Linked DNA regions of Notamacropus eugenii. The protein of the gene in region 1 purifies or fractionates together with the protein of each later gene. This does not show direct contact. Links are inferred from orthologs where the notes say so. Each region holds a gene or a part of one and is shown in the gene's direction. Other genes may lie near its edges. The genes, in order: KLHL6 and NUDCD3.

Evidence for each region.
Region 2: the proteins of KLHL6 (region 1) and NUDCD3 purify together in Homo sapiens (affinity purification with mass spectrometry; 3 studies listed by BioGRID and IntAct, counting the BioPlex papers as one, with this or other methods). This does not show direct contact. The link is inferred for Notamacropus eugenii from reciprocal best matches to the Homo sapiens genes KLHL6 and NUDCD3.

The regions. Positions count from the first base shown.
Region 1 is NC_092873.1:54,257,477-54,268,365, forward strand, and holds the start of KLHL6 (kelch-like protein 6), read left to right. Parts: upstream 1-6,146; 5' UTR 6,147-6,360; coding exon 6,361-6,620; intron 6,621-10,889. UniProt on the Homo sapiens protein: Involved in B-lymphocyte antigen receptor signaling and germinal center formation.
Region 2 is NC_092872.1:522,768,941-522,780,116, reverse strand, and holds the start of NUDCD3 (nudC domain-containing protein 3), read left to right. Parts: upstream 1-6,650; 5' UTR 6,651-7,022; coding exon 7,023-7,214; intron 7,215-11,176.

The DNA.
Region 1 (10,889 bases):
TTGCTTAGGTATCTGCTAAGGGAAGGTAACAGGAGGGAAGTAAACACTGTGTAAAAGACCCAAACCAGCCAAACACATCAACAGAAGATTTAAAAAATAAGTAATGTGCAGTACTGTTCACTCAATGACCATGAGCTGTTCTGAGAGATTTAGTGATTTGTTGGTTTTAGTCATTTTTCAGTCATGTCTGACTCTCTGTGACCCCATTTGGAGTTTTCTTGGCAGAGATACTGGAGGGGTTTGCATTTCCTTCTCAAGCTCATTTTACAGATGGGGAAACTGAGGCCAATAGGGTGAAGTGACTTGCCCAGGGTCACACAGCTAATACGTGTCTGAGGCTAGATTTGAACTCAGGAAGATGAGTGAGTCTTCCTGATTCCAGAGCTCTGTGCACTACGGCACTACCTAGGTGCCCTGGTAGCACTTTACATACACTCAATGAATATCCAGTTCACAAAGGTACGCTGTCTACTTTGCTTCTCTAGAGGTAGAGCAATCAAGCAAGTAAGCAGATATTTATTAGGTGCTCTGTGATGGGCCAGACACTGTCCTAGGCAGAGGGGACACAGACCAGAAGTTAAACAGTCCCTGCCTAGTCAAAGGAGACAACTTGAACACATATAAGCATGTAACAATATAAGTGCCCAATACATACAAGGTGATTTTGTGTGGGAGGGCACTAGAAGTTGGGATGAATCAGGAATATAAAAATTGACCCTTGAGTTGAGCCCTGAAGGAAAGTCAGAACAGAGGAAAGGAGAGAGTGTACTCCAGGGGAGTGTGTTGTGGATGAGGTAGAGTGGGAAGGTCACAGCCTTCATGGAGGGGAGCATGGAGATAAGATGGAACCAAAGATGCTACAATCTGGTCAAACTGACTTCTTCCTTTTCCTCATGTACAGCAATCCATTTCCCATCTCTGTGACTTTGCACTGGCTGTGCCTCATGCCCAGATCTGGGTTCAGCTGCTGTGCTGATGACCTCCTATTTCCATGGTAAGTTCTCATCATGGTTCCTGTCGTCTCAGGCTCCCATTCTCACTATGCCATTTGTTGGGGCTGCTCCCAGAATGTCCTAGCCTTTGTTTGTTGCGCGCACACACACACACACACACACACACACACACACACACACACACACACACACACACACACACACACACACACCCCTTCTCTTAAGACATGAGGGGCTAGCTTGTCACTTAAAAATCTGGCCACGTTAGCCCAAGGTCACGGTGACTTCTTAGGGACATGAAGAAGTAAGAAATGCTGTTAGGATCTCTCTCTCTCTCTCCCTCTCTCTCTCTCTCTCTCTCTCTCTCTCTCTCTCTCTCTCTCTCTGTCTTTCTCTGTCTCTCTCTGTCTCTATCTCTGTCTCTTTCTCTCTGTCTTTCTCTCTTCTTTCTTCTCTCTCACTCTCTCCCTCTTCCTCTCTTCTCTCTCTCTCTCGCTCTCTCTCTCTCTCTTCTCCACTTTCTCTTCCTCTTTCCTCTTTCATTTACCATCAGACTCCAGGCTCCACAACTCTTAGCAACCTGAGGGAGTGCACAAATTCTCTTGTCCAAGTTTGCCCCCAAAGAAGAGATATGAGAATGTACCTCTTTCCATTTTTAGTAAAGATGGGGGACTATGTGTGTGATACACAGCATACACCAACCACACTTGGCTGACATGATGCTTAGTGAGTTTTTCCTTTCTTTTTTCTTCTTTGTTATAAGAGATGAAACTGTGGGAAAGGAAGAAGGAGGGTTATAATGGGAAATGAAGGTGATTTAACAACAACAACAAAAGATATAAACAAAAATTTAAATTGAAAAAGGCATTCAAGAATTCTGCCAGGAATTGGAGTCAGACTCATCAACTATGCAAAATAGCTTATAGTTGAAGAATTATCCTTCATTTTGAAAATAAGCAATAGCTTTGTAGCCCTTCTTTCATGTCTGTGATTTTTCAGAGAGCATCAAGAGGAGGGGTGAGGAACCTGTGGCCATATAGGTCCTCAAGTCCACTTCAGTTTGGATTCAGACAAAGGGCCACACTTGAGGACCTAGAGCACCACATGTGGTCCCCACCCCCATCCAAGAACAGCTCAGCCATCCTTCCTTCAAGTTCATTGCTTGCTGAACTCCAGTCATATTGTATTGAGACTATCCCTCAAGCCTGGGGTTTGAAAGATTGATTCCTTCATCATCTCCACCTGAGACACAGGATCATAGCTCAAGAGCTGAAGAGTGCATCTATCAGAGGTCATGGAGTCCAACTCCCTTATTTTAGAGTCGAGGAAATTGAGGTCGAGGGAGGTTAAAAGACTTCAAAAGGTCATAGACATGCATATAATTTTGTCTACCCCACCCCCACCCCATTTAAAGAAGACGAAACTGACCTAAGGAAGCTAAATGACTCATCCGAGACTGTATAGACAGTGACTTCTCAGGTTCCTTAGGGTCCTCCTTCTATGAGATCCCAGGTCCCTCAGGGAATGCTCCATCCATCCACAGATGGGTTTGGGTTTATTTGCCTATATCCACATCACATGCCCACAGCCGACTGTGAAACCCTTGAGGGTGGGGAACAGGTTCATTTTTTTCTCTGTCCTTATCTCCAGAACCTAGCACAATACAGCCAGATACTTACTGCATGTTAATTAAATGAAACTGAATTTTGAATTGGGGCCATTTTCTCCTCAACCATGATCTCTACTTCTCACCTTGTCTCCGTGCCAGTAGAGGGTCCAGGGCAGGGTCTTGCAGTCATTGGATGGGCAGTGGAGAAGGGGAAACTGATAAAGAAAGGGAGAACAAAGTTCTACAGTTCCTTTTCCCTCTACCACACCCCCGATGGCAGATGTAGCCTTGTTGGCAATATCCCTAGCTTTTGTTTCACTTCCTTACTTTCCCCCTCCTAAGCCCATTTCCGTTGCTCAACCCAGATCTCTCACCCCAGCTCCAGGGACACTGTGTTTTCTTCTGAAGTGTAGAGAAAGGTTACTGTGGTCCTCTGTGCAAACAGAGACCTGTCATCAACATCTGTATTCTCTTTGTATCTTTTTATAGTAATTATGTGAGAAAAGGAATGTCAGGGAAAGTGAGGAAGGGGGAGCCCTTTGATCTCTCATTATTTCTCCACTCTTGCATTATTTCTCCACTCAGAATTCTCGGATACTGAGCAAGACAAAGTCTGCTTCCATATAACAGGGAGGTACCTGGTTGCAGACCAGATGTGCAGATGGAGTGTGAACACGCCACACAGACCTGGAGACAGTGATGGGCCAGAAAGGAAAAGAAAGTAACCAAGGCTTGCTCCTTGCTGGTACTGTGAGTCACGTAGACTGTGCAGGTATAGCAGGATGGGTGGGCTATCCCCTAAGCTCCTTTCCAGTTCCTCCAGGAGAAGAAAGTTAAGTTGTTTCTAAGCAACACCAAGTCACACAATGTAGTATTCGTGGTATAGGTCTCTACAGAAAGCTGGAGGAAAGTTTTCTTGCCTGATTATGGGATTGGGCATAAGTCTTTTCTATATTTAGGATCAAATATGAACTTTTGGACATTGAGAACTCTTTATAACCTGTTCTCGGTTAGGTAGGTGGCATAGTGGATAGAGTGCTGGGCCGGAGTCAGGAAGACCAGAGTTCAAATCTTGACTCAGACACTTCCCCGCTGTGTGATCCTGGGCAAGTCACTTAACCTCTGTCTGCTTCAGTCCCCTCAACTACAAAATAGGGACCAAAATATTATCTACCTCCTGGGATGGTTGGGAGGAACGAATGAGATGATATTTATAAAGTGCTTAGCACCATGTCTGCCACACAGTAAGTAGTTCATAAGTGGTTTTTCCCCCTTCCTCCCCACTCCCTCTTCCCAATCTTCTTGCACATCATTTTCTTCCATATATTTTATGGTTCAGCCATATTGGTCTATTCCTTGAGGAGCAGACCTACTTTCTCAAATTACATTGGAGCCTTCTACACTTTCTATAGGGATTTCTCTCCATAGGTCGTCATTTGTAGTGAGTATGGTTGTGCCCAGATGCCTGTGCTGGTCCAGGGCCATGGATGGAGCCCAGACTCATTATACACCAGAATAGGGTGAGTTGAACTCATTTCCTTCAAGTCTTTTCTCTAGTAGCAGCTTCTGCAGGGTCCCTGTCCTGGGTCCCCCTCCAAGGTTACCTTATACCTGCCTTAGACATGTTTTATATGTACCTGTATATGTCTATACTGTTTCCCCCATTAGAATAGGCACAATTTCCTTTTTGTCTTTGTAGCTCCTAATATATGGCCCAGCACATAGTAAGCCCATAATAAGTGCTTGACGATGAATGGATGGAGCTGTGGTCTGTATCCTACCAAGAGCTGTTATGAAATTACATTCAGCTGAGGTCTCTCTCCTCCAGTTTCCCACCTCCCAAAGGGGGGATATCCATTAGGGATCCCTGACACCTGATATATGTAACCCTAAAAAGTTTCATAAAATCATATATCTGGAACTGGAAGGGACTTCAGAGGTTAGCTAGTCCAACCCTTTTGTTTTACAGATAGGGAAACTGAGGTCCAGAGTGGGGAAAATGTGACGCATGAATTCATATAGATTGTGGCAGAGGTACCTGACTATAACTACCTAAATTGCACATATGACTCCCAGGAGTAGCCGATAAGCCTTTTGGGAGTATGCCAGGGAGACGCGATTCTATTTTAAGGATGGAAACCTTGGTCACTGGACTAGGATTAGAAGGACAATCTAAAGCCATGAGAACAAAACTTTCTTCTCATGAAGCTACTGCCTTCTACAGGAACTGAACCTGTCGTGTTGGTCATCCATATTTACAGCAATTCCAACCCAATGAAAAAAACAGATTTGTCTTCCTTGCCTACACCCACACCCAGTCTACTTTTGCAGAGTCCAGCTCTTGGACATCCCAAAACTTCCCTAGGTAGTGCAGGCAAACTATACTTAGATCCCCTTCCCAGCTGGGAAGCTTCAGTCCATTGTCTTTCATTTTTATTTCTTAGTTGGGCAATGCATTTCTCACTGTAGAAAAAGATGCTTCAGTGACTTAGATGATGGATGAGGTGAGCCATGGTGGAGGCCAAGGGCACAGTAATTTTCAGGTCTCAAGAGGGAGGAGGAGTCCAAAATAGTCTGAGACTTCTGGGTCCATGTTTCAGGTCAGTTCAGGCATTTCCAGCTTGTGCAACTGCGAGTGTGGAGTGGGCATGGAATCAGAGACTCATACAGAGGGAAATGGACTGGATTCTGTATCAGAGAACCTTGGTTTGAACTCCTCTTACTGCTTGAGTACCTTGAGCAAGTCCCTTAACCTCTCTAAGTCTCAGTTTCCTCATTTGTAAAATGAAAGCATTGGTCTGTATGGTTCTTTCTAGCTCTCTGACTCTCCACCATCTTATGACGACTCCCAGAATTATCCCAGTCAGTGCAGGAACCCACTTAGATATATTAAAAACACATTTAACAGCCAGGACCAAAGAGCTCCATTACACTTGGTAGCTGATCATCATATTAAGGTAGAAAATGGCTTGGATCAGTCCGTTGATAAGCTATTATTTATTAAAGACCTACTATGTGTTAAGCACTGGGGATACAAAGGAGAGCAAAAGACAGTCCCTGCTCTCATGGAGTTCCCAGGGCAATGGAAACAAAATGAAACCAGGAAGTTGTTATTATTCAGTTGTTTCAATCATGCCCAATTCTCAGTGATGCCATTTGGAGTTTTCTTGACAAAGATATTTGGTGTGGTTTACCATTTCCTTCTCTAGCTCATTTTACAGATGAGGAAACTGAGGCAAGCAGGATGAAGTGACTTGCCCAGGGTCACACAGCTAGTAAGTGTCTGAGGCTGGATTGGACTTCAGGCTCTGAGCTCCATCCCTCCACCACCTACCTGCCCCTGGTCAGGAAGACCTCGTTTAAAATCCTGTGTCAGATAATTACTAGTTGTGTGAGCGCAGGCAAGAAAGTCACTCGCAAGTTAGCTCAATTGTAAAATGTGGAGGATAGACTCAATGGTGTCCGAGAACTCTTCTAGCTCTAAATTTGTGATGATATGTGTGATCTGTGATCTGACTCTTCCCCTTACATCTCAGCTTCTCCCTTTGTTTGTTTGTCTGAAATCATTTCTAAATGCAGTGGTATTTCAAAGAAAGAAGAAAAAAAAGAAGTTGCCCTCATTTGTAGCAACAGGATGAGAAAGTGCAAGGTTTCCTGTTATGTGTATGTGTGTGACAGCTGTTGATAAGTGGAGGGCCTTGGACAGGAAATCTGCTTGGCTCCTACAGTGTGACCTGGGTGAAACATCAGAGCTCTTTCAGACTTGTGTTGACGGGATGACACGGTGCCTCCTGAAACATGGGAGACACTGTGGAAAAAAGCCTAGAAGGACCCCTTACTCCTCTGGACGAGGGCCATTCCAGGAAACGTGGGGATCTGGTGGAAATCTTGAATGGTGAAAAAGTGAAATTTGATGACACTGAACTCTCGAGAATTCTACAGAATGGTTTGGAAAACCTCCGACTGGAAAACTCCCTGACCGATGTCATCTTGTGCGTGGACATTCAGGAATTCTCCTGCCACCGGGCAGTGCTTGCTGCAGCCAGTAATTATTTCAGGTATATGATACCCAGAATGAGAGTAGAGCTTGGCATTTGTTTGAACAAGGATTTCTGCTGGTGCTAGATTTGAAACGAATTGATAGGATGCTGTAACCATGGTTTGAAAATCACCTGAGGGGAGATGCTAACAGAGAAGTCCAGACATGGGGAACCTATAGGCTATTTTACAGACTAAGTCATAGAAAAATCACCATTTGGGGGATACATTTCGATGAAAGTCAAAGCCAAGGGTAGTTGTAGAGGAAGATGAAATGGATTGAAACTCCTGGGTCTTGCTGAGTTCTGTTGGGTTTGTTTTTAATTTGGCACCGTTGTTATCTGTGTTCTTTGTAACAATACATTAGAGAAACAGGATGTAAAACAAGAGTCCCTTCTTTTTTTCGAGTTATAACATGAATTGCCGAGAATGCTCCAATTGACTTTGGATTCAGTGAACCTGAGTCCAAATCCTGACTCTGACCCTCTCTATTTGTCACTTCACCTTTCCTGGGTCTGAGTGTCCTCATTTGTAAAATGACTGTTGAACTAGGTGGTCTTTGTTGTGTCTTACAAATGTTCATTTATGATCCTATAATTAAGGGGCTTGGGGGGATTGTGGGTAGCAGAGGGAGAAGAGGTTATTTCAAGGGCTCAGAGAAAAGGAGGGTGCTGAATCTCTAAATCATATTGAATTATCTATCTTATCTATTAGCCTTGTTTATACCCATCTGATGGATAGCCCTTATTTTCACCAGCTTGTGCACTATGCCTAGAATTCTGTCCCTCATCCTCTTCACCTCTGGGCTTCCCCCAGGGGTCAGTTGAAATCCAGCCTTCTAGAGGAATCCTTTGTCTTTGCTTTTAACAGGATGCCTTCCCTCTGTTGATCACCTCTTGGCCCAGCATTTATTGATTGTACACAGCTGTGTGCATGTTGGCCCCTATTGGAGTATGAGCTTCTTGAGAGCAGAGACTGACTTCTGCCTTTCTTTGTATCCCCCAGCACTTGGCACAGGGTCTTGGCACATAGTAGACGCTTTAAAAAGCTTCTTGACTTGACTGATAGGAAGCTCATGGGAGCATAGATTTAGAGGTAGAAGGGACTTTAGATATCATCTAGTTATCAGCTCATAGGATTCTAGCTCTAGAGTTGGAAGGGACCTCAGAGGTCACCTAGGTCACTCCCCCTCCATTTTACCAATGGGGAAACTGAGGCCCAGGAAGGGAAGTAACTTAGAATGACATGATCATAAATATAGAGCTGGAAGAGATCTCAGAGATCAGATAGTCCATCACCTTCATTTTACAGACAGAGAAACTGAGGCCTAGAGAAGTGAAATGATTTGCCTTTGTCACCGGGATGGAAAGAAGGAAAGCTAGATGTTGAGCCCAAGTTTTCTGATTCCAGACCCAGTCTTCTTTCTAACCCAGTATGCTGCCAATACAAGTAACAAGGTGTTGTTCATAACTGATATGCCAGGGTCCCATGTCAGGGATATTCCTGAGGCTCCCGAGTCATGGAAAAAGGACAAACCATGTCATAACCCTTCTTGACATCAAGGAAAGGGATCTTTCCATTCACTATCTTAGATCACAGAGAGAAGAACAACTTTATTTTTTCAAGTTTTAATGGCTCCTTTTGTATTTATGCCACAGCGATTTATCAAGGCATCACTCCCATCTTACTCCATTGAACCCTTCCCTACAAAACAGCCAAAGGTATACAAACCAAACCAACTGAGTGAGGCCTGGTGTTTGAGGTTATACGGAACATTCTGCTTCACTAGTCCCCCACCTCCCTCCTGGGAGAACATCCTCTGTCCTCTGAGACCAAGACTGATCATGACAGTTATTCAGAGGCTGGCACTCAGGGTTGTCTTCATTTACATCATGGTAGCCAGCCTGAATGCTGACCTCCTGGTTCTGCCTGCTTCCCTCTATATTAGTTCATACACGCCTTCCCATCCGAACGACTGGCCTGTGAAAAGCCCAGCAGAGCAGGCTCCTCTCCTAGCAGGTGCTGAATAATATCTGCCTCATGGATGACAAGAAAGACCTTCTCTTTGTTAATGCATTTTTCATGAAATTCATAAGAATGGTTACTTTGACATCCATGGACAGAGTGGGAGATATGACTCAGACCCCTAAGACAAGCAGACCACTGTGTTAGGTCTACATATTGAATCCATCATCACTGCAGGAAAGAAAAAGGATAGAAAAAGCTAGGAAAAGAAAATACTAGCCCTGGAGTCAGAGGATCTAGGTTCCTTTGACACTTAATGCCTGTGTGACCTTGGACAAGTCACTTAGCACTTATTGGCCTCAGTTTCCTCATCTGTAAATGCAGGAGCTGGGCTAGATGGCCTCTGAGGTCCCTTCCAAATCTAGGATCCTATGAAATCCCCTTGACTTCCATGAACCTCAGTTGCCTCATCTGTAAAATAAAGGGTTTGGAATACAATGTTCCTTCTGATATATTTTGATGACTATCATTTCAGTCCGTGAGCAATTTGTCCAGTGTTGCAAATTTCAATCCTTTCATATTCATTTTGTGTGATCCTTCCCTTGGTTTTCTTAATATATCAGACATAGCCACGTAGCCTCCCGCTGCTTCTGTGTTGTCTCTCCGTCTTTCTACCCATCCGGCCCACTTCCCTTTTCCAGTCTTACATATTCACAGCGATGTTGCATGCTATTTATCGTTGGAAGAATTGTTCCATTTCCTGTCTGATAGTTGTCCTCTGCTTTTCACTCACGAACACTCTTGGATTGACAGGAAGCATTGTGAGAGCCCTGAATTTGAAGAAAAGGGATAGGAGGTCATATCCTGGCTCTTTGTGACCTTGGGTAAACCAAACAACCTTTCCGGGTCACAGTCTCCTCATCTGTTAAATGAAGGGCTTGGTCTCCACCTCTTAGCTGGCTTAGCTAGATCTCATGCCAAGTTTTTAGAGGGTGGATTATTTTCTTCAACAGCTTTGCACTGTTTTGTGAGTTGATAGGGCTTAGAATCTTCCATACTTCTTTATAATGCAGAGATTTGACTAAATTCTTGCATTGACTAAAGATACAGTGATGAAATGGGCGTGTCCATTTCCCATTTTTCTGAGTGTTTAAACATTTTGGGTTGCAATATTTATAATTGTTCACATCCTTTCCTCATTTCTTGACATTTGATGCTTACTTGGACTTTTGATGATAAGACCGCTCATTAACAGTTGGTTCTGAAATGGCTAAAATCCCACCTTCTGCAAGTTGCCTTTCTCAGTCCTCTTTAAACTTAGTATCATCCTTCTGATTCTATTCCCTCATGTATCCTGTCCATAGCTTAACAAATTCTGAATGGTTGAATGAAAGAAGTATTCATGAGTATTTTTCAGATGTTGTGTTTCTCCAGAGTTTACCTGATTCTGGTCTCTTTCATTTTTTGACCCCAAAGCATATTTTCCAATATAATTTTCACTGTTGTCCACTGTGCTCGCTCTCAGATTGAAGCCATTGAATATCATGGTCTGGGCTGACAAAATATGGGGGATCTTGTTGAGTTTTTCAAAGAATTTCTCCATATCTTTGGATGTTGGTTCAGACCCAGAGCCCCAAATTGTCCTCACTGTGGCATCTTTGCTTACACCCACTGAAAGCTCTTCAAAGTAGCAGGACCTCATGGCCCATAATATGTGAAGACACATGTACATCAGTACACGATGAAAACAAGTCTAACAAAGAGACAGGTCAACCATCCCTCCACTGAGCTGTAACTCTTTGGTCTTCTGATTTCATCATAGCAAAAATTTGTCAGTGTCTATGGGGTTCAATTCCTCTAAAAATCTATGACTGTGTTGGTCATTACTTCCAAAGTGTCAAGATTTTAAATTTCTAGATGGTCTAAGAACTGGTTGACTTTTAGCAACCTCTAACCTGAGTGTTGGTAAGCTAGGGTCCACAGCTCTGTGGATAGATTTCAAAGAATCCATGAATTTATTTAAAATTTTTCTTAGCTTCGTTTAATTAGATTTGATTTCTTCTATAATTCTCCATCTTTTATTTTAGAAACATGATTGTAAGAAAAGTTCCCTAGGTTTCATCAGACTCCCAAAGGAGACCATAGCATAAATGAAGTTAAGACCCCTGGTCTAGCTCATTTTCTTGTGGTTCCTTGTCTATAACTATAGGAACACAAGGGTGCCATAGAGGAAGGGGGGCTGTTTTGTAATTTTGTCCATTAAATGGATATAATTCATTCCTGGGTGGCTAGCCTCCAGATGGTGACCTCCATTCTACTTACCT
Region 2 (11,176 bases), on another chromosome or scaffold:
GAAGAAGAGCCAGGCTTAAGTCTGCTTCTGACACATCAGCAAGTCATTTAACTCCTTAATGAGGTAAGCAACTCTCTAAAACTATAAGGGATACACCTGAAGAACTGGGAGGTCATCTGGGGGAGTTTTTAGAAAATGCCTTAACATGGTTGGTTCCACATAGATTCTCAACTCCTTTCCTGTTATTTTCATTATGCTCAATAAACAGTGGCTACAGTAGGGAGGGAGAGGGAATAGTATTATGTACTATGGGCCAGACGTTATGCTAAGTGCTTTTATAAATATCCAATCTGATCCTCACAACAGCCTTGAGAGTTAGGTGCTGTTGAGGAAACTGGGGTTAAATGACTTGCCCAGGGTCATAAAGCTAGTAAGCATCTGAGGCTGGATTTGAATTCAGATCTTCCTGATTCCAGACCCAGTGCTCCATCTACTATTTGACCAACTGCTTCCATAGTAAATGGAATATTGTAGTTCTTTGGATGTGGGATGTCACGACTACTGAGAGGAATAGTCAGATATTGTATGGGAGATCTATGGCTATAGATTTCATATTTTTGATGTTTTGAGTAATATTCCATTAAAGGCCCCTAGTTAAAATTGGAAAGTGGCCATGTATAGCAGTTGTAGCCCAGGTATTTGTATGCTAAATCTCTGCTGGTACCAAGAAGGGATAATACTTCAGTCTTTTGAAAGGCAACTAGTGTGATGGCTCTAGGAAGAGGGTTATGTGGTGGACAATTTAAGTACTATACTCCTTAGCTGGATAATTTACTATGATATACTATCTTCTTGTAAGGTAAAAGGAAGGCAAGCACACACAAGAACTGTATGTCAGCCAGTATTTCAGTGGCCCAAATACTACATATTGGGCAACACAGGTATGATACCTGGAACAACCTTTGAGTACTGAAGTCAAGAAATAATATGACGCAAAGAAATCACAAAGTTTTCTTGCCAAAAGACTAGGAATGAGAATAGGATTTCACATGTGGTTTTTGCTCCATGTTGCACAAAGTTTAATTTCATAGTGGGCATTACCACTGAAGTAAATACAAGAATTTTTTTTTTTTAGTGCAGATCTGTGATTTCATTGGTGGAGGGAATCTTAGTACAGAAACTTCCCCTTTCAAAGCAGATCATTACCTGTAACTCATAGTCTTTGTGACTTTCTGGACTACAACAAATTGTCACTTGCTGAGGGTCACATACACTGCTAGGTGTTAGAAAGGAGGACTTAAATCCAGGTCTTTCTGACAATGAAGCTAGGTCTCTATGCATTATGCCAGGCTGTCTCTCTTCTTACAGGTTATTATTTCCCACCCACCCCCAACATTTTAGAAATGAGAAAACTAAAGCTCAGAGAGAGAGGCAGTTACTTGTACATGGTAATAAAGTATTAGAGGCAGGATTCAAACTCAAGTTTCTCTGGATTCCAAGTCCAGAGTTTGTTTGTTTGTTTGTTTTCACCAAGCCATTCCTATTAATTAATATATACCTTAATTTTCAAAAGAACTTATGTAGACCTCTAGCCAGTCCAAGCCCTCTGTCGGGGGAGCTTCCTTCAAAAGTGACAAACACCATGTTGGACAGGACATCTTCCTTTTTCTTCTCAAGATGTTTCTTGAGGGAGGTCATTGTTCATATGTTTGAGGATAAGCTTGACAAGCCTGATATTCAACCAGTAGTCTTTTCTATATAGAACACATGGTGAAGGTCATTTACCTACTCCTCTTCAATTCTACTCTCTTACAAAGATCAATCAAAAGCCTGCACAAGTAATTAATAAAAGAACAGGAACCAAATGTAACAACTTAAATTTTACAATTTGTCATTGATACAATTAAACATAACATAATTTAATTCTTGTTTGGTGACTCAATCATCAGACAAGATTTCTTTATTCTAAAACTAAAGGGAGAATTCAAGTGGTCCCTGCATGGAGAACTTTATAAACCTTATAAAAATAACAAATATAATTTAATAAATATAACAAAGAATTCAGTATTCATTTATTGAACATCTACAATCTGCAAGGTTCTGTGTTAGATGCTGTGGGAGTAATAAAGATGAATAAAACAGAGCCCTAGCTGAGGGTAGATGAAAAACAATTGTTAATCATTTTTTTGGAAGAGGATCAATGACACTGTGGATGATATCTTCACTAGTGTCTGAATTGGATTTTAGGTAGAATTGAACAAAGTCAACAGCCTCACTCTCTCTTCCAGTGTCACTGAAGTTCAGTGGCAGGATAAATGTCAAGGTGAATGGCTATGGCTAGGGATGAGAGGATGTCCTAGGTTTCTCTGATGTCTGACCAAGCTCTAAGAGCTCCACAGTGCCTGCTTTAGCCATCTTCATGGCCTTTGGAACAAATTGTTCTCATCTGTCCATCCCACCAGGGAAAGTCTTCACATGGTTGGGGTGGACATTCCCCTAACTCACCAATCCTGCTGGCACAGTATTTCAGAGTTGGAAGGGAACTCTGAGGCCAACTAGTACTACACATACCTGAACAAGAATCTTCTCTAAAAGAGTGAAACGCAGTGGGGAAAAGCATTAGATTTGGAATGAAAAGATCTAAGTTTGATTCTAGCTCTGCCACTTAACTACTTGTGTGATCTTGGGCAAGTCTCTTCACCTCTGGTCTCAGTTTCACCATCTACAATATGAGATGGCTGAACGAGAAGAAAGGGTCTAGTTTTTGCCATAGTCAATTGACATTTATTAAGTGCTTTCTAGGTGCTAGGCACTGTGTTAAGTAATAGGGATTCCAATACAAAAAAGGCAATCTCTATTCTAAAGGAGTTTACAATCTAGCGGGGGAGTATTGGGAAGTTCCTCTTTAAATGAGGAGAAATATGTGTTTTTTTGTCTTTTTTTTTTCTGCAATTCCACCCCTTTTTTCTAATTATCTTTTCTAGGGCAGGAGTTCTTAAGCTATTTGTGTATCACTTACCCCACTGGGGCTCTGGTAAAATTTATTCTCAGAAACTCTTCTTGGAATAATGTTTTTAAATGCATAAAATAAAATGAATTACAAAGGAAACCAATTATATTGAAACTGAAGGATTAAAAAACAAACAAACCTAGTTGATAGATTCCAGGTGAAAGGCCAAGCACAAATCTAAACCTTCTTCTATATGACTGATTGAAGGATGAGGCCATGAACTTGCAATCTCCATTTAAGGAGACTTCAGTTTAGAAAACTCACTTCTTACCTGGGTGCTCTACCTTGGGACTTCCCTGCCTTTTTCCACTAAGCCACCATGTTGGTTATTTCTTCTCCTCCTTTCCCTTTCTTAGTTTCCTTTTGAGTCTTACTTTCCTTTACTGGATTGCAAATTCCTTGAGGAGCTTTGTATCTCCAGTGCTTAGCACAGTACCTGACACATATTCAGCCATGTCTCACTCTTAGTGACTCCAATTGGGGTTTTCTTGGTAAAGATCTTGGAGTGGTTTGTCATTTTCTTCTCTAGCTTATTTTATAGATGAAGAAGCTGAAGCAAATAGATTTAAGTGACTTGCCCAGGCTCACATGGCTAATAAGTGTCTGAGAGCAGATTTGAACTTAGGCTTTCTTGACTGCATGTCCAGTGTTCTATCCACTAAACCACCTAGCTACTTGAAATGGGGTTAGGGCGAAGGCAAACCCACCACACATGCTGTTAGCACTGAGCACTGATGAAAAATATCAGTCTGTATGGATTGTCATGAAAGAAATACCAGTGACAGAGATAAATGAATTCTGGAAAAGCTCTTAAGTTCCAGGGAATGTAAGAAGTAATTCCCTGCTTCCCCACGGATTCTGCTCTGATTGCCTGGGCTTGATGAGCATGAGGGGCAGGGGTTTGAAGGAAGCAGGGTTGAGGCCTAATATCTTCTATAGGTCCACCCCTGCTATTAGGAGGTCTACTAGGCCAGGAACAGATGTCAGATCTTCACCTGTCATTATCTAAAGTGGAAAGATTCAGAGGAAGAGTACCACCACACTGAATCCTCCTGGGGCTTAGGGGCTTGGAGAGGAATGGAGCAGTCAGCTGCTGAGCAGCTAAGAAGTGGGGAAAGCACACTAAGCTCACTAGATAGAATCTCTGGCAGCACTGCTTCCAGCCTAATTCTCTTCTTCACATGGCTGTGCCTACCGAACAACTCCAACCTGGCTCCATTGGGGAGCAGTCTGAGGTTTCCCTTGCTTCAGCTGCTGTTGCTGCTGTTGCTGCTGTCTTCACTTGTTTGAGTATGCCCCCAAGTGGCTCAGGGTTGAAACAATGGATATCCTGGGTAACATTAGCCTCCTTAAAACTCTGCTGTACACCTGTGCTATGAGACAGCGAGACCACATGCCCACTATTGCTACTGGGTCTTGGGGCAGCTGCCTCTTTGCCACAACCAGGTCTGCCAGCTCTGACTTGCTGCCAAGTGCCCCCACACTCTGCTCCCAGCTCTCCAACTTCTGCTTTTTTAGCTATGAGACTTCTAAGAAGGCTGTGGGGTTGGCTTGAATGGGCAGCTGGGTAGGTGCAAGGGTGAGCTCTTCATCAATCAGTGTCTTAGATCAGTCACCATTTCCTGGCTTCTTCTTTCCATTTCCATTTGGGCTTTCTCCTGATCTCACTGGAGTTTCTCCTTCTCAGACACTTGGTACTGCTGTGATATTGCTTCAAAGTCCACATTAGCCTAGCACTGGGTAAACACTGTCAGCTCCTGCAGATTTTCCAGTGTCTCCGTCTCCAGCTTGGAGTCCTTGATCTGGTTCTCCAGCCCCTTCATGGAATTATTTAATTCTTCATCTTCTCTTTCCTTCTATAACCTTTTTTCTTTAACTTTCAGGAGTTTCTCAGCCTAGAAATTTCATGTGGCTCCATGATATAATTTGTATTCTCTGGGTCTGTTTTGAAGGTAATTTCAGCTAGACAATAGGTACATTTGATGTGGAAGTGAAAAATTGCAGATATAGCTTATTCTGTACTGTCTTCTTCCAGGCATTAAATTTCTTGCCTTCATAAATATACTCACTACATAAGTCTTATGTTGAATGGGGCCATTGGTCTCACCACATACTGCTGATCTTTGAGCATCTTGAGTTTAGGGATTTTTGGTGGATCAAAATGTTTTTTTTTTTTTCCAAGACATCTTGGTGCCATTTCACTATGGTACCTTTCCCCTCCAAATGCTCCTGGCTAATATGTGGTTTTCAATAAGTCGACAGTGGCCCCATAGGTTGCTGTTCCAGTTTCATCAACTGATCTTCCCGTTACACAATCTATTGGCACAAAAAAGTGCTGGATTTAGAATTAAAGGACCTGGGTTTGAATCCTGTCAGTTGTTAATCTTGGGTCTCCCACTTAAAACTCTCTGGACCTCAGTTTCTTATAAATGTAAAATGAGAGGCTGTTTAGATAAGCTTCTAAGGTCCCTTTCAGATTTAAATCTTGTTATTTTAAGATCCTTTCACTTTTCTGGTCTTCCTTCAGCTTTTTATTGTTGTTTTGTTTTGGCTGGGTCCAACTCTCCATGATGCCATTTGGTGTTTTCTTGGCAAAGATACTGGAGTGGGTTTGGCATTTATTTCTTCAGGTCACTTCACAAATGATAAACCGAGGGGCAAACTGGATTAAGTGACTTCCTCCATGTCCTACAGCTAGTAAGTGTCTGAGGCTGGATTTGAACTCCGATTTTCCTGCCCACAGCTCTATCCACTTAGCTTACTCATATCACCCAAATATGCCCCAGACTGAACTTAGCACTTCAGACTTGGCCTGACTAGGGCAAATTGGGGACCGCATAAAACACACCCCTTTTATCAGCCCAATAAAAATTTTTAAAGCTTTCCAACTTTCTCTTAAAGCAAAAGGTTTTCAGTTTTTAAAATTTCTTTAACTTTTAAAAATAACTTTTACCTTTACATTACCTTCAAAATCTTATGTTCTCCCCAACAGAGGGAAAAAAAGGTAGTTATACTATAAATATAACATTAAATAAATAGCTGTAAAGTTTACAGGGCTTCCGGAGCGCTCTAGGTGTTATCTCATTTGAAAAATTATAAAGAGAAGAAAAAAAATCAGTTTAGCAAAACCAGCCCGGCGCAGCGAGCCCAGAGGGCAATGCTCGGTGCGCAGGCAGCATGACTGGGAGGGTTGGCAGGGGATGTGGGGCACTCCTAGGGCCGCAAGGCAAGCACCGCTCTTGACAACACCCGGGGTCGGGATCGGGGTCGGGATCGGGGTCGGGATCGGGGTCGGGATCGGGGTCGGGATCCAGCGGTGCTCCGCGACCTCGGAATCTCCCTAGCCTCCTTTTCCTGGCGTGCACAACAGGGGGGCTGAAACCGAAACCATTTAACTTCCACACCAGCTGCAGCCCTCGGGGCGTCTGGTTCCAGGCCCGAGGTCACCCCGGTTCTCAGGACGCCGAGCGGACCGAGGCTAAGCACGATTCAGTCCGGAGAAACAAACTTCAAACAGAAAGGAGCCCGAAACTCGGAGTCACGTGACGCTCGGAACCCACGCGCGCGCAGTGGGAGGTGGCGATGTTTTCTCAGTGACGCGCGTACGTCACGTGGAGGGGGGAGGCGTAGAAAACTTCCTTTGCCCTCTTCCCACAGGGTCGTTGGGTGTCACGTGCTCGCCAACCCCCGACTTTCTGGTCTGGGCCCTCTTTTGGTTCCCCTGCTGCGTCGAGCCTGTTTAGCCAGGGCACCCACGCCGGAAATCCCGACGGCGGCGGCGGCCTCGGCGCCGGGGGAGGGACGTTGTCTCCGGAGGCAAGCAGGGCAGACCGGAAGTCCCTCGGTCTCGGCGGCTGGGTGGTGGAGCCGTTGACGGTGCCCACGCTTACACACATACACACAAACACACAAACACATACACACACACTCACACGCTCACATACAGCGGAAGCCGCCGGTCAGAGGCAGAGGCGGCGGCTGACGCTGAGACCCAGGCCGCGGCAGGCCGCTGCACCCCCTGTCCCCGAGTGTCAGTGTCCCTCCCGCCTCGGGGCCGACCGGGCCGGTCGCCATGGAGCCCGGGGCGGCGGAGCTGTACGACCAGGCGCTGCTGGGCATCCTGCAGCACGTGGGCAACGTCCAGGACTTTCTGCGGGTGTTGTTCGGTTTCCTTTACCGCAAGACGGACTTCTACCGCTTGCTGCGCCACTCGGCTGACCGCATGGGCTTCCCCCCCGGGGCGGCCCAAGCCATGGTGCTGCAGGTAACCGGGGGTGGGGGGGGCACGGCGGGGCGGGGCGGCTCGGCGCGACCCCACCCGAGGGCTGCGTCCCTTTGTCACCGGGGGTGTGGGGGGGGGAGCCGCCCTTTCGCCGCCACCTCTGCCCCGGTGCCCGGGATATGGAAGGGAGGGAGCGAGGAGAGCCCGGAGCTCGGTCACCCTCTGTTGGCCGCTTCCCCTCTCTGGCCCGCAGCTTCCTTTTCTGTAAAGTGACCTCTAAGACCTCTCCCAGCTCGGACGCTCTGGGAGTCTGTTTGGGGGGATTTCAGTCCCCTGGGTCTCTCCGGTCTATCCGAGGCCCCCTGCTGAGCTGCCTTCTTTGAAAGGGCGTGACGGGGCTCTTGCTGAGGGGGCCTGAGGACTTGGAATCAATCTGGAAGAGTTGGGTTTTCATTCCTGCCTTCACACCGCTCCTACAGTTGGAAGGAATCCTAGAGGTTTTCTTAGTGCTACCCCACTCGTTTTACCCATGGGAAAATCTGGGAAAAGAACTGAAGTAGTTTACCTACAGTTAAGCAGTGGTAGTGAAGACCTGCCATTTGAACCCAGGTCATATCGCTCCAAATCCAGCTCTTTTCATACTAACACTCTTTACTGTGATCTTGGACAAGATAGTTTCTCTCTGGATTTTAGTTTCCTCATCCGTAAAACGGGGAATAAAAAATAGCATCAACTCTGGCAATATTTTGAGGTTCCAATAAGGTAACGTTTCCTCAGCTGTAAAACAGGGAATAAAAGTAGCATCTATCTCAGGGATATTTTGAGGCTTCTAGGTAATGTATGTAAAACTTTGGCTTTATAAATCTTCAAAGAGGAATATAAATATTACCTATTTTTATGGTGGCCTGGACACCACTGGAGGCTTGGGAGCATCACTTAGAGAACTCCACTTTCCTGAGAGGAAAACATAAATAACCTCAATAGAACTAGAGCTATGTTAAAATGGAATAATTGACCAAGAGGTTGAAGGGAAGGAAGCAGGATCATAGGCTGTCAGGTTGTGGAATGGGCGCAATTTTTTGTTCAAAGTTTGATGAATTTCAAGGTGTCTATTTAAATCCAGAAGTAAAAATATTAATCTGTATCTGAGGTAGGAAGAAATTTCCTATATTAGTAAATTGGTGTCTTATGCCTCTACTAGGATTATAAATTTAAAGCTGGAAGGGACCTTAGAGGACATCCAGTGCAACCCCTTCATTTACAGATGAGAAAATTGAGGCCCAGAGAGATTAAGTGACTTGGCCAAGGTGACACAGATGTAAATATCAGAGGTGGGATTTGAACTTAGGTCCTTTAACTTGAAATCAAGTGCTTTTCCATTGTACCATCATGAACTGTGAATTATTTGAGGGCCAGCATTGTGTCTTTTCTAACCTTTCCTATGACCAGAAATTTCATCTAATAGTTCTGTACAAATAATAGTGATGATGATGATGATGATATAGATCACATTTATATGATGCTTTACATGTTATTTAATTTTCTCCTCATGACAGCCCTATGAAATAGATACTGTTATTATTTCCATTTTAAAGATGAGAGAATAAGTTCAGAGATGTTAAGTGACTTGCCTGGGTGTGAACATACAGCTCGCAAATGTGTGAGGCAGAATTGTTTTTCTTTTGCTTTTAAAGATATATTTTGTTTGTTTTAATCATCCAAGATCTGTCTTTTCACCTTTGTAACCCAATCCCCTACTTGAACATAAGAAAAACAAAAGCCATTACAAACTTGTATGGTCAATCAAAGCAAAATTCCAAACGGGTCTTGTCCAAAAAAAATTTGTCTTAGTACTTTACCTCTCAGGAGGTAGATAGCATATTAATTTTCTGGAACCCTGGTTGGTCATTATGCAGATAAAGAGTTTAGCACAATAGTATTCTATTCCATTTATATACTATATTTTGTTCATCTATTATTCAATTTATGGGCACCCTGTCAAGTTGCCATTCCTTGCCACCTCAAAAAAAGCTATTTTTTTATATCTTTAGAGTTTGTTTTGTTTAAAACTAATCCCTCCCTTGACTTAACCTTTCCTCTAAGACTCCTTTTCCCTAATCCCTGTTCCCTCCTATTTCCCTGTTGAATGAAAGGTATTTCTGTCTTCATCTGAGTATGTGTATTCTCCCTTCTTTTGACTATTTTGAATGAAAGGAAGGTTCAAATGTCTCTCTGTTCCCCCCCCTCCAACCCCTCTACATTCATCCTGATAAAGTAAGGTAATTTTCCCTAACCTTCCTTTCCCTTTTTAATCAGGAATGTTTGAAAGTTGTCTGTTTCTTTAAGAATCTGGTTTTTTTTTCTCCCATAATATTGCATTCAGTTTTGCTGGTAAGTTTTTCTTGACTATAAAGCCCATATAGCTTTTGCCTTCTGGAATATTATATTCCATGTTCTCTATTCCTTTATGGTGGTGACAGCTAAATTGTGTGTAATCTTGTGACTCCTTGGTACTGGAATTCTTTCTTTCTGTCTGTTTGAAGTATTTTTTCTTAGTTTTGGAAGTTCTAGGTTTTGGCTGTGATGTTCCTAAGAGTTTTCATTCTGAGGATTTTTTCATGAAATAACCAGTGGATTCTTTCTGTTTCTGCTTTGCACTCTGGTTCTAAGAGATCTGGGCAATTTTCTTTTAAGATTTCTTGAAACATTTCATATATGTGTGTGTGTGTATATATATATATATATATATATATATATAAAAATATATATATATATAAATATATATATACACACACATACGCACTTGTATATGTATACAGGTATGTTGCATATGTGTGTATATGTGCATATATAATATACATGCACACACATATATATTCTTGTTCTGGTCATGATGTTCAGATGGACCAATGATTTTTAAATTTTCTCTTCATTCTTTTCCAAGTTAGTTGTTTTTGCTATGAGAGAACTTGTATTTTCTTCTAGTTTTTTTTTCCTCTTTTGACTTTGTCTTAATATTTCTTGCGTGGGCAGCTAGGTGGTGCAATAGATAGAGCACCAGTGCAGGAGTCAGGAGGACCTGAGTTTAAATCTCACCTCAGACACTTGACACTCACTAACTGTGTGACATTGGGCAAGTCATTTCACCCCAATTGCCTCATTCTGGGTCATCTGGAGTCATCCTGATGAATATCTGGTCACTGGATTCCCATGGCTCTGGAGGGAGAAGTGAGGCTGGTGACCTGCACAAACAAAGTCAAGTACAAAACAAAAGTCAATTGCAAGTCATGTCATTATTTCTCTGATGGTATGGTCTTCTTCGGCAACGAAGGACGAACACACACAGTATTTCTTGATGCCTCATGAAATCGTTGGTTTCAATTTCGACCATTTAAACATTGCTTGGACACGCGTGGTTTCATATCTCTAGTGCCAAGATGTTAATTTTCTTTACAGTTTTTTATTCTATAGCTTTCATTTCCAATTTTTTCCTCATGCACTTTCATTCCATTTAGTAAAAAAAAAAAAAATTCAAAGTCTTGTTTCATATATTCCAGGAATTTTAGTTTAGTTTGAGCCCAAACTATTTTTCTGTGAGGCATTGTTTGTAGATGTTTTGGGGTAATTTTCCTTATCTGTGTTTGGGTCTTGAACTTTTCTGCCACCATAGTTACTCATTATGGTGGGGTTCTTTTTTTAGTTTGCCCATTCCTCTTCTTAATGAGTTTGCATTTAACATTAGAGCTGGGCCCTGCCACACTTTTGGAGGGAAGTTCTGGGTTGTTCCTGTTGCAACTTTCTTGGGGTATTGAGTTTTGTGTCTCCCAGGGTCTTAGTCACAAGTGAGAGACCTGCAAGCTTTCAGTGCTCCTAGAGTGGTCTGATCCAGGGCAAGGTCTGGAAGTTGTCCCCCTGCTCTGAACTCTGTAAGTTCCTCACCTCGGTTTGTGTTTGAGCAAGAGTAGACTACTGCTGGAGTCAGCCAACTGAAAGCTATGTTGGTT